3 linked regions of the Rattus norvegicus genome follow. The protein of the gene in region 1 interacts with the protein of each later gene in a biochemical or structural test. Links are inferred from orthologs where the notes say so. Each region holds a gene or a part of one and is shown in the gene's direction. Other genes may lie near its edges.

What was found.
Region 2: the proteins of Notch1 (region 1) and Usp10 form a complex in vitro, tested with the Homo sapiens proteins (2 studies listed by BioGRID, with this or other methods). The link is inferred for Rattus norvegicus from reciprocal best matches to the Homo sapiens genes NOTCH1 and USP10.
Region 3: the proteins of Notch1 (region 1) and Numb form a complex in vitro, tested with the Homo sapiens proteins (2 studies listed by BioGRID). The link is inferred for Rattus norvegicus from reciprocal best matches to the Homo sapiens genes NOTCH1 and NUMB.

What each region holds. Positions count from the first base shown.
Region 1 is NC_086021.1:29,694,114-29,697,613, reverse strand, and holds part of Notch1 (neurogenic locus notch homolog protein 1 precursor), read left to right. Parts: intron 1-14; coding exon 15-128; intron 129-826; coding exon 827-940; intron 941-1,234; coding exon 1,235-1,468; intron 1,469-1,547; coding exon 1,548-1,658; intron 1,659-2,412; coding exon 2,413-2,605; intron 2,606-3,051; coding exon 3,052-3,197; intron 3,198-3,385; coding exon 3,386-3,499; intron 3,500-3,500. UniProt on the Homo sapiens protein: Functions as a receptor for membrane-bound ligands Jagged-1 (JAG1), Jagged-2 (JAG2) and Delta-1 (DLL1) to regulate cell-fate determination.
Region 2 is NC_086037.1:64,919,797-64,924,022, forward strand, and holds the end of Usp10 (ubiquitin carboxyl-terminal hydrolase 10), read left to right. Parts: intron 1-996; coding exon 997-1,141; intron 1,142-2,342; coding exon 2,343-2,408; intron 2,409-2,748; coding exon 2,749-2,936; 3' UTR 2,937-3,726; downstream 3,727-4,226. UniProt on the Homo sapiens protein: Hydrolase that can remove conjugated ubiquitin from target proteins such as p53/TP53, RPS2/us5, RPS3/us3, RPS10/eS10, BECN1, SNX3 and CFTR.
Region 3 is NC_086024.1:109,176,464-109,179,963, reverse strand, and holds part of Numb (protein numb homolog), read left to right. Parts: intron 1-1,190; coding exon 1,191-1,265; intron 1,266-3,378; coding exon 3,379-3,500. UniProt on the Homo sapiens protein: Regulates clathrin-mediated receptor endocytosis. Plays a role in the process of neurogenesis.

The sequences.
Region 1 (3,500 bases):
TCTCCCATCCCCAGGTTATGAGGGTGTATACTGTGAGATCAACACGGACGAGTGTGCCAGCAGCCCCTGTCTACACAATGGCCGCTGCGTGGACAAGATCAACGAGTTCCTGTGTCAGTGTCCCAAAGGTGAGGCCACCTACTTACCACAGGACCTGTGTCCTCATGCTCTCTTCCCAGACACCTTTGAGGGAGGAATTTGCCTTGTGAGTTGACTAGGAGGTTTTCAGGCTTTCCTCAAAGGTAAAGAAAGGCCCACATGAGAGTGGGCATTATAGAGAGCCTGGCACCAGAAACCCTTTACTAAAGGGGGGAAAGATAAACAGGAGCTGCGGTGCTCCCGAGATAAGGGGGTCCACCTGCGAGTGAGACACAGTGTGGGGATCTGACCTGTATATCTGGGAAGGACTTGGAGGAACTGAGGAGGGAACATAAAAGCCCCGGGAAGGTGTCTCTTGCCTACCCCAGAGCTGGACCAGACTTTGGGCCTTGTGAGATGTAAATCAGCCATCTTAGACTTGGTCGAGCAAGGGGAGTCCCATTCACAACCTAGTGCAGCTGTAACCATAGCAACCAGACGCTATTTAGGAAAAGGGCCCCTCTGTTGGGCCAGGGAGGCAGCCACTGAGCAGTGCTGAACCAGGAACTGATCAGAGGGGTAAGGGTACCAGGGCAGGTTGAAGCCTGGAGGTCAGTGGCCACTGGTGACAAAGTACCCTCTAGGGAGCCCATGTGAGCAGTCATTCAGCTAACTATAGGGTCTGTGGGTAGCAACCGAAGGGCTAGGATACTGTCAGACATAACCATCTCCTCTTCCCTGGCCACAGGCTTCAGCGGGCACCTGTGCCAGTATGACGTGGATGAGTGCGCCAGCACACCATGCAAGAACGGCGCCAAGTGCCTGGATGGGCCCAACACCTACACCTGCGTGTGCACAGAAGGTACAAGAGGCAGTGTGCAGGGTCTGGGGGAGGGGACTCGGGCTTAGATAGTGGGAAGAAGGGACAGGAAACTGGGGAGCCCTTCGTTTGGGGCTATATAATCTGAGCGTCAAGAACTTAACTCTGCTTTGACTCCAGACAGGAGTGATGAGAACATCCCGGGGTATGTGACACTCCCACATCCAGTGACCCTGGGCTGGGCCTGCTCAGTATTTTCCCTAGGTGTAGCCAACTGAGTGTTGAGGGAGTAACTGGCCCTGAAGCTCACCAATGTCCACCTTTCCTGCCATCTAGGTTACACGGGGACCCACTGCGAGGTGGACATTGACGAGTGTGACCCTGACCCCTGTCACTATGGTTTGTGCAAGGATGGTGTGGCCACCTTTACCTGCCTCTGCCAGCCAGGCTACACAGGCCATCACTGTGAGACCAACATTAATGAGTGTCACAGCCAGCCGTGCCGCCATGGCGGCACCTGCCAGGACCGTGACAACTACTACCTCTGCTTATGCCTCAAGGGGACCACAGGTGACTGGCCAGAGCTGGCAGTGGGTGGAAAAGGGTGAGGCTAGGCTTGGAGGCTGACCACATGTCACGCTGCCCCTAGGACCCAACTGTGAGATCAATCTGGATGACTGTGCGAGCAACCCCTGTGACTCTGGCACGTGTCTGGACAAGATCGATGGCTACGAGTGTGCGTGCGAGCCAGGCTACACAGGTGAGCGGCTGAAGTTGGAGGTCAAGGTCAACCCTAGAGCCTTTAGATGAATGAGGTCTGGGAGGGACTGTGGGGTTAGCAGGGGTCCAAGGGCTGGAGGACACAAGTTAGGTATCCGCCTCCCAGATCTTGGTCTGCCCACAGGGCGGGTATCATAAGGACTGGGTGGCCTCCACATGCCTTCTGTCCCCTGTCAGTGTCAGCCCTGGCCACATCAGACTTAATGGCTGAAGTGGGGTGGCTAGAGCTCCGAGGCCAGGCTTTCGGACACACGTTCTGCCTCTGACACCCTTATATCTGATAAGAACCTTAATTTCTCTGAGCCCTGGGAACCTTGTCAACAGAGGGACAGTGTCCCAGAGGTCTCAAGGGTGTAGTAAAGTTTGGCTGAAGAATGACTCGGTTGGTAAGGTGTTGGCCTAGCGTGCAAAACCCCTGCCACATACATGTTCAGTTCTCCTGCCACATAAGCCAAGCGTAGCGGCATATGTTAGTACTCTGACATTGAAAGCAAGAGGATCAGAAACGCAGGCTGTTCTCAGCTATGCAGTGAGTTTGTGGCCAGACTGGACCAACAGGAGACCCTGAAGCTACTGGCACCACAGTCACGTAACTCATTGCTGCATAAGGCACTTTCCCGTGGCTTAAAGTTCCATAGATTGGCACACGGGGAAACTGAGGCCCAGCCAGGTTTAGCTCCAGGAGGGTTGGTCTCTGGGTGGCAGGCCTGGTATCAGCCCCTTCTCCCCCACAGGGAGCATGTGTAATGTCAACATTGACGAATGTGCGGGCAGCCCCTGCCACAACGGGGGCACCTGTGAGGATGGCATCGCCGGCTTCACTTGCCGCTGCCCCGAGGGCTACCACGACCCTACGTGCCTGTCTGAGGTCAACGAGTGCAACAGTAACCCCTGCATCCATGGAGCTTGCCGGGATGGCCTCAATGGGTATGGCAGACTGGCCTGGGGGGAACCAGCTAGAAGCCTGGGGCAGATACGGACTGGGTGAATGGGTGTTCCTGTGAGACCAGTAGTGTGAGGTCAGCCCCAAGAGTCTTCCCAGCATCCCTGGGTTGTGTCCTTATTGGCTAACATCAGCTCAGGATATAGACCTTAAGCACCCTGGCTGTTGAAACGGTCGTCTGATACCTGTGACAGCAGCCCTCTGTCAGTGTGTATATGGGGAGACTGCTAAAGTCCTTATTCAAACTGTTAAAAAGTTTGGTACAGAGGGTCAGTACTGGGTCACACTGTCCCAGTCTAGAACCCTTGCATGGTCTTGGGAAAGGCGGGTACCTCCAGTCCAGTAGATGATGTGTCCTTGCCCTCAGACTGGATCTGTAGTCTAGGAACTGTATCTGTAGCCCAGGCTACAAACAGAGGCCTCTCTACAGATACAAATGTGACTGTGCCCCTGGGTGGAGTGGGACAAACTGTGACATCAACAACAATGAGTGTGAGTCCAACCCTTGTGTCAACGGTGGCACCTGCAAAGACATGACCAGTGGCTACGTATGCACCTGCCGAGAAGGCTTCAGTGGTGAGTGTGGTGGGTGACACAGCAGAGTGGGTCCTCCCTGGTGGCAATACAACCCCACGGTGTCTTCTTTCTTGGTCTACCTGATGAACAGGAGCTGCTGGCATTTCTCAGGCTGGGCCCCTGGCTCTCCCGAGTAAGGGCAGAGGGCAGAGGCTCAGGCCCACCCACTCTTGCTCTTCTTCCTACAGGCCCTAACTGCCAGACCAACATTAACGAATGTGCTTCCAACCCCTGCCTGAACCAGGGCACCTGCATTGATGATGTCGCTGGGTACAAATGCAACTGCCCTCTGCCCTATACAGG
Region 2 (4,226 bases), on another chromosome or scaffold:
GCTTGGACGCTGACTTGAGTCCGCCTCTCACGCAGTTGCTTTACTGAGAAGCCCCGGGTTGTCAGGAAGGAGCGGTTGAACCATATGGCCCCCCAGCTGCTCTGCAGCTCTGGCTCTCGTGACTGAGGGAATTATCTCCCTTCTGCCCTTGACCCTGCTCCGTGTCTCCTTTCCTCAGTCCACCTGGTGTCTGCAGCCAGCCTACCTCCAGCAGAAGAGTTAGGATGTGAAGGGAGTTCCAGGCACGTCTGTGTTGCAAAAGCATTGATCATTAGGGACAGTCAGGCGACTATTCAGTGTGATGACGAGGATAAAGTCTTGAGTGTCCCGTCCTGGACAGTTAGGAGCTGGCCTTGTTGTTGTGGAGAGGCTGTTGTCTGGCTCTCAGTGGCCTGCTCTTCTGCTCTGCGGGGAGGCCGTCTTGTCTCTCAGGTCTTTTGCAGACTGGCATTGAGGTCACAAGGCAGGATGAATGCTGGGTAGTTAGGGTGGCGCTTTTCTGAAGAGTTCGTGGTACTGGAAAGCTGTGAACAGTGGAGTGCAGAGGCTACAGGGTCAAGTAAGGAGTGAGCAACTGAAGATACATTTGGTGGAGAAAACCAAAAGAAACCCTAACACCAGGCGTAGCCGGGAACAGTTGCAGGTGGGCAGAGAGACTCATCCTGCAGCAGGGCCGTCCGCAATCTTCCGACTTACACTGCATTAAGTTTCATTGTTGGTGCTGCTTTAGGATGTTTTAAAAGATTCAGGAGCCTTGAAAGCACTAAAGGGACGCAGGCTGGTCATGCCAGCTCCAGCCGTTCTGCACTCAGCTTGTCTTTCCGGCCATTGTGTCGCCACATAGCCAAAGACTTCGCTTGGAGGCCACAGATGGGCTCCTTACAGGGGTCCATGGGGGTACAGGCATGGCTGGGGAGCTGTTGGGAGTTGCTGTGGAAGCCCACAGGGGGGCTGCTGCAGCCAGGCGGGCCTGTGACCCAGGCTACTTTGTCCCAGGTTGAAGTCAGCCGTAGAGTGACTCTGGAGAAGCTTCCCCCTGTCCTTGTGCTCCACCTGAAGCGCTTCGTCTATGAGAAGACGGGCGGATGCCAGAAGCTCGTCAAGAACATCGAGTACCCTGTGGACTTGGAGATCAGCAGAGGTAATGCCGGCCTGTGCCTGCTGCAGTCCCCACAGCCTGTCACCGCCTGGTCACCAGTTAGGACTCTTTGTTTTAGCTTTATTGACATTTGTGGGTCTCTATACTGAATGCTCGCCAAGGTGGCTTCCTTAGTTTTAACTTTGACTTAGGGATGGTTTGCCGGTATGGAGTGTGCACTGTGTGCTTGGCGGACTACAGAGGCCCAAAGGGGCGTTGGCCTTACAGGTGGCTGCCAGCTACTGTGTTGGTGCTGGGCTCAAACCCAAGTTCTCTGAAAGAGTAGCCAGTGCTCCTAACCACTGAGCCATTATATTTTGTTTTTGTTTTAAGGCAGGGTCTCGGTATGAAGTGCTGGCTGGCCTGGAGCTCTCTATATAGACCAGGCTGGCCATGCACTCTTATTACAGCGATTTGCCTGGTGCAAATACAGGAAGGAGATGTAATGTGACTGGATCAGAAAAGCAGGAGAGCAGCCGGGGCTGGCTGGGGATGCCCTCCCCCACAGCGACATGGTGCCTGTGCAGAAATGTGCTGGCTACTGCTTTCTGTGGCTTCTGTGTCGTGTCAGAGGGAGACCACATACCTGCCTGGTGCCTGCAGGGGCAGCCAGTGCTCCAGCCACTGAGGCGTCTGTCTCACTAGCTCTGACAGCCTGTTCTGAAGAGCCCTAAGAGACAGGTTGAAGGAAACCTGTTTTTTTGTTTGTTTTAAGGTTTGTTTTACGGTATGTGTGATTTGTATGTACAGGTAGGCGTGCATGCCACAGCACATGTGTGTTGTTGGCTTAGGAGGTCAGAGCTCACCTTTAATTATGTCCTGGCCTTCATGTGGAAATCAGATGGCACCTTGTAGGAGTAGGTTCTCTCTCTCCACCATGTGGGTGAACATCTTAGATTGTACGCCGGAGTGTGGCAAGGCCAGGCAGTCTACAGAACACAGAGATCTGGGAAAGAAAAAGACAGCGGTGTCTTGCTCTGATCTTGGAGAGAGATCCTCTTGGGTCTGTTCCTCCTGTCCCAGCCCTGCATACCCCGGTTCCTGTCTCCTGTGGCTGTGAGAACCTTCGGGTTCACTTCTCACACCGCTCTGGGCCATGCCTGCTGACCCTCGAAGTGGGATGGGTGTTTTTAAGGGCCCTGTCACCAACCAGTGCTGCTGTGCTGTGAAGACTTTGTTGAAGTGTTGTTATTTTGTTTTTCAGAACTGCTTTCTCCAGGCGTCAAAAATAAAAACTTTAAATGCCACAGAACCTATAGGCTGTTCGCAGGTGAGTGTGTTTGCCCTCTTCTCCCTCAAAACCACAGTGAACAGAGAGTCTAAGGTACCAGGCAAAAATGCCCTGGAACACACACCACAGACAGGGTCCAAGGAGAGCTCAGTTGTCTGTAAAGCATTTGTGCCCGTTTTTGCCTTGAGTCGTGGCTGACAGGAGAGAGTGTTGCTGTCTGTGAGCATCCGCCTGAGTCAGTGGCCTGCAGGCTCCTGTGGTGCCACCTCCCTTTGGAACAGTTGGGTGGGGGTCGGTGAGGAGGGTGTGAGGGTGGGGGTCTGAGGCAGTGGGGTGAGGGGCTGTTCTCACGGGCTGCCCGCTTGGTGCTGTCTTCCAGTGGTCTACCATCATGGCAACAGTGCTACAGGTGGCCACTACACCACGGACGTCTTCCAGATTGGGCTTAACGGCTGGCTGCGAATTGATGACCAGACGGTCAAGGTTATCAACCAGTACCAGGTGGTGAGACCAAGTGCTGACCGCACCGCCTACCTCCTGTATTACCGCCGTGTGGACCTGCTGTAGCTCTGCCCGTGTGTCCGACGCTGTCTCCCATATCTCCCAGCTCACTAACCGCCCGCCTCTCCAGTGGCTCTGTGGAGAGAGGCTCTCCCTCTGCGCCAGGGGGCTTGGATGGAAGATGTCTGGGGGGTCTGCACAGCGCAGCTCATGCTGACTCTGACTTCAGACTGGACTGTGGCTTGAGTGAGGAGACACACACGAGCCGCCGCTTCTGAAGAGCCGCTGGTTCCTGAGCCCCTGGGGAGGTGGCTCGCACTGGGTCCCAGTTTGATGCGTAGTGGAATAAGTCCCGCACCAGCAGCTCTTGTAAATTTGTGAAAATGAATTTTATCTTTCCTTAAAAAAATAATTTTTTTAATTCATCACACTTTCTTCCTTTACCCTTTAGTTTTTGATAAATGACAAAAATGAGCCAGTTATCAGAGATGAGATAGCTCTTACTTCAAAAGGAGATAAATATAAAAAAAAATATGTTGCTGGTTCCTAACAGGAAACGAATTTTAAATGATTGCAAGAGGGAAACTGCTGACATAGACATCGCGGGTCAGACATGTGGGTAGACGTCAGGCTGCAGAGGTGGCTGGCGGATTGTAACTTTATCACCGTGAACAGATTTCAAATCGCATTCATGTTCTGTGTGCACATGAACAGTGGGCAGAGGGACGGACACTTGCCGGTGTCTGCTGTGGAGTCTGCCACACCTCTGATGCCATGTCCCTGTTATACACAGTGTAGTGCTTCCTCGGAGTATAAAGTTGTCACCCGTCAATAAAGATCACAAAGTTGGTTTAAAGCTGTGTCTCTTGCTGGGTCAGCCTCAGCTCAGCCGGGACTCTGGCCGTGCTGGGTCAGTATGGCTGTTGCTGAGCTGGGGAGGGCCTGTCCCTGAGTGTTGCTTCCTCTGATCTTGCGGCTCAGGTGAGGGCCAAGTCTTACCTGAGTGTCCTGATGCCGCCTCAGCTCCTGGCAAAGATGAAGAGGCCTCTGCTGTGTGAGGGGCTCCTCAGGGCAGGGCTCACAGTGGGATGAAACCTACTCCCAAGCTCCTTCCTTTCGTGAAGGGGCTGTGTTCTACCGAAGCCCTGCCCAGCCTCCCTTCAAGATTTCTGGAAACTTCTGTGCTTTCTGGAAACCAGTTGACAGCCAGAGGGGACTCCGGCCTCGTTTCCATGTGATGTGGCTGGAATGAACCAAAGCACACCCATCCCACAACTGGGGCTCACCCAGTCTGCAGTACGCCCCGAAAGCCATCACAAGAGGCCAACGCATGCCTTCCAAGTGAGCGTCCTGTTT
Region 3 (3,500 bases), on another chromosome or scaffold:
TTTAGCACCAGATTCTCTTTGGTCTGTATTTCTATGACAATCTGATACCTGCCCTCAACCTGTCTTTGTTTTAATTTACTTATATCCATAGGCAAGTTAAGAAATGACATTAAGTACTATTGCATTCCCTCAAAGAAGAAAAACATTGTCAGCTTGTTCAAAAATATTCTTGTTTGCTACTCAAACAAACAAACAAACAAACCAAAAAACAGGCTCTGAAGGTTCACACTTTTAGTCCCAGCACTCAGGAAGCAGAGGCAGGCAGATCTCTGAGTTTGAGGCCAGTCTGCTGTATACAATGAGTTCCAAGACAGCCAGGGCTACACAGAGAAACCATGTCTCAAAAACAGAAAACTAACCTTAATCGTCCCTGTAATTTTTAAATCTTCCTATGCCCTCAGAATGTTCCCAGCATTTAATGTCAAATTAAAAGCTTGGCTAGACTGGGGCTGGAGCAGTGGCCCAGACGTTACTTAGTTCAGTTCCCAGCACCCACATGACTGTTTACAACTGGCTCTAACCCTCATCCCATGAGATCTGATTCCCTTTTCTGGTGTGCAGATATACATGCAGACAAAATGTCCTTTTACATAAAATACATAAATAATAATTTTTTTAAACCTAAGCTAAATCATAGTTAATCTTGAGGGAATAAATAATTATTTTTTAAGGATTGTTCATAAAATGATTATGGTTTCTTGAATTTTTAACTGAAAATTTCAGGTGACAAAGGGTCACACTGGTTCTCAGAGGATAGCAGAATGGTTCAGAAGTGACTGAGACTTATCTGTCCCCTTCTGTACCTGCAGGTCTCCTGTGGTGTAACTCCTTATGTATCTATTATTGTCAGATTCTTAGTTTTCTCAGCTGAGTTTTTAAATGGATGAAGACTCTAGTTGGGAGTTCTTTGCCTTTTCTGGAATGTGTTACCTCGGTTTTACTTTTATCTGTCTCTTCTCCCTTAGTTTATCTTACGATGTTGTGTTGTATTTCTGAGGTAATAGCTTAGCTTTTTTTCCCCTGAATGTCTCTATTTGGCTTGAGTATCTGGCTTTGGGTATCAGTCCTGAAGCTGGATTTCCTCTTTCCTTGTGACTTTTTAGAAGATGGAAATCAGTATTTTCTGAGTTTCGTTTTCTTTTTAAAATTATGTATGTATTGTCTCCTCCCTCCCCCTTATCTTTTAAAAGACGGGAAAGAAAGCAGTGAAGGCCGTTCTGTGGGTATCAGCAGATGGACTCAGAGTTGTGGATGAAAAAACTAAGGTAAGAGTTTTGTGAGTTTAAATGTTGCGTCTAATGTGGTTTATCTCTAGTGATAAAATGTCATTAAGCTGTTGTAGTAGCTCTATAATATCCTGCCACTGTGTCCAAAGTACAGCCTTTTGAGAGACTGTTTTAATGTTCAGGAAACTAGTTTAGTAACTCATTTACTCTATGAACATAATCTCTCGGCATTTTGTTCCACATGATGTAGCTTATTGTATGTGCCAAGCATTAATGCTTAATGCTAAGATATGAGTTCTATTTTCTATGTTTACTTTTTTCAGATCCTTGAATGTAAAAGGTGATCTATCTTTTACTGTAATTTTTTTAGATGACAGGCCACATGTTAAATTTGCCCTTGTTCCTTGAGGAAATGTGACTTAGAGAGGGATAATTGGGTCAGCTGCTGAAGGCCCAAGTCGGGTAAACGTTCAGCATGAGAGGTGAGGTTTGCTGAGGGTCCAACAGTATTCTAGGTAGCACTCTGTTTTTGAGAGAAAGGGACCCTAAACGACCAAGATATGTATGGTCAAGTAATCATTAGTACATTTTCTTAAGACCTAAAGACATGGGCTGGAGAGATGGCACAGGGGTTAAGAGCACTGACTGCTCTTCCAGAGGTCCTGAGTTCAATTCCCAGCAACCACATGGTGGCTCACAACCATCTGTAATGGGATCTGATGCCCTCTTCTGGGGTGTCTGAAGACAGCTACAGTGTACTCATAATAAATAAAATAGGAAGGAAGGAAAGAAGGAAGGAAGGAAGGAAGATAGGTAAGTCTTGCTGAATTTGATCTAACAATTCCCCCGCGTCAACCTCGCAAGTGTTGGGATAATAGACTTGTGCCACCATACCAAGCAATTTGTCATTCTCGTGGCCATGTATTTGTTTGCCCTCTGGTGGCTACTTTTTTAGCACCTACATTTATGAATTTTGTTCTTTCCATGTTGACTGATAAGTTACTGGTGGTCAGGCTAGTTGAATTGGGGGAGGGGAGGTAGACAGGATCTCTCTGTAGCCCAGTCTCGTCTTGAGTTCAGTATGCAGCAGCCCAGTTTGGCCTTGAATTTGCTCAGTTCTCTTGCCCTAGCCTCCCAAGTTCTGGGATTGCAGACATGAGCCACCACACGTACCATAATTGACAGTTTATCACTATTGGTTCCATTGCCCCACCTTTATATTTTACCTATTACCAGGGATAATACAGTGTTGGAATTGTGACAAGATCATGCATGATCTGCACAAATTAATAGAGCTGTAGAAATCTGAGCGTCAGGTCTCTGACTTTCTTTGAGCAATGGCCTGTGTCGTGGCGATGCATCGGTCTCTATTGTACAAAGAAATAGAAGCTGATACATTCTCACAGAGAAAGCAGAGCCAGCCCCAGAATGACCCAGAAGAATAGGCAGAATTTATAAAGCAGGCGTTAAAATCGCACTGAGGCATATGAAGGAAGAAATGCTGCTGCTGAATGAAAAGCTGGATAATCTCGGAATTTCTGAAAAAAAGAAGCAAATAAAAATGTTAGGGCCAGGCATGGTGGTACGCGCCATTAATCCAACCTGGCAGGCAGGCAGAGCCAGAAGGATGTCTGAGTTCTGGGACGGCTATGGCTACATGGTGAGACACAAACTCCAAAAACAAAGAGAAGGAAGGAAGGAAAAGAAAGAAATCAGAGAGAGAGAAAGCTGTACATCTGTAAAATAGAATACTTGAACTAAAAGATTTCTACTGGACGGACATACAGTTAGTTGAAAGGGGGAAAGTATAGAATAATATGTATTATTGTTCTAATCTGTGTAATATATAGTGGGAACTCACTATTGTATGTTTTTGCTGTATTTGCAAATAACCCAAGAGGATTTAAACATTTATTTATGTACGCATACTGTCAAGTTGAATATGGCAGCTACTGTGGAAGCGCTCCAAGCCGGAACCACCTGACACATACACTCTTCAGAGCATAGCAATAAAGCTAGGGAGCCGTTTGAGCCTCCTCATCAAGTCGCACCCTATGTGGGGATTCTGCATTGCAAAGGAGCATCCTGTGCTGCTGCTGAGAAGCCCGGATAACTCAGAAGCCTTCTCTTGCTCTTTGCTTCCATTTTCTAGGACCTCATAGTTGACCAGACAATAGAAAAAGTTTCTTTCTGCGCCCCCGATAGGAACTTTGACAGAGCCTTTTCTTACATATGTCGAGATGGCACCACTCGGCGATGGATCTGTCATTGCTT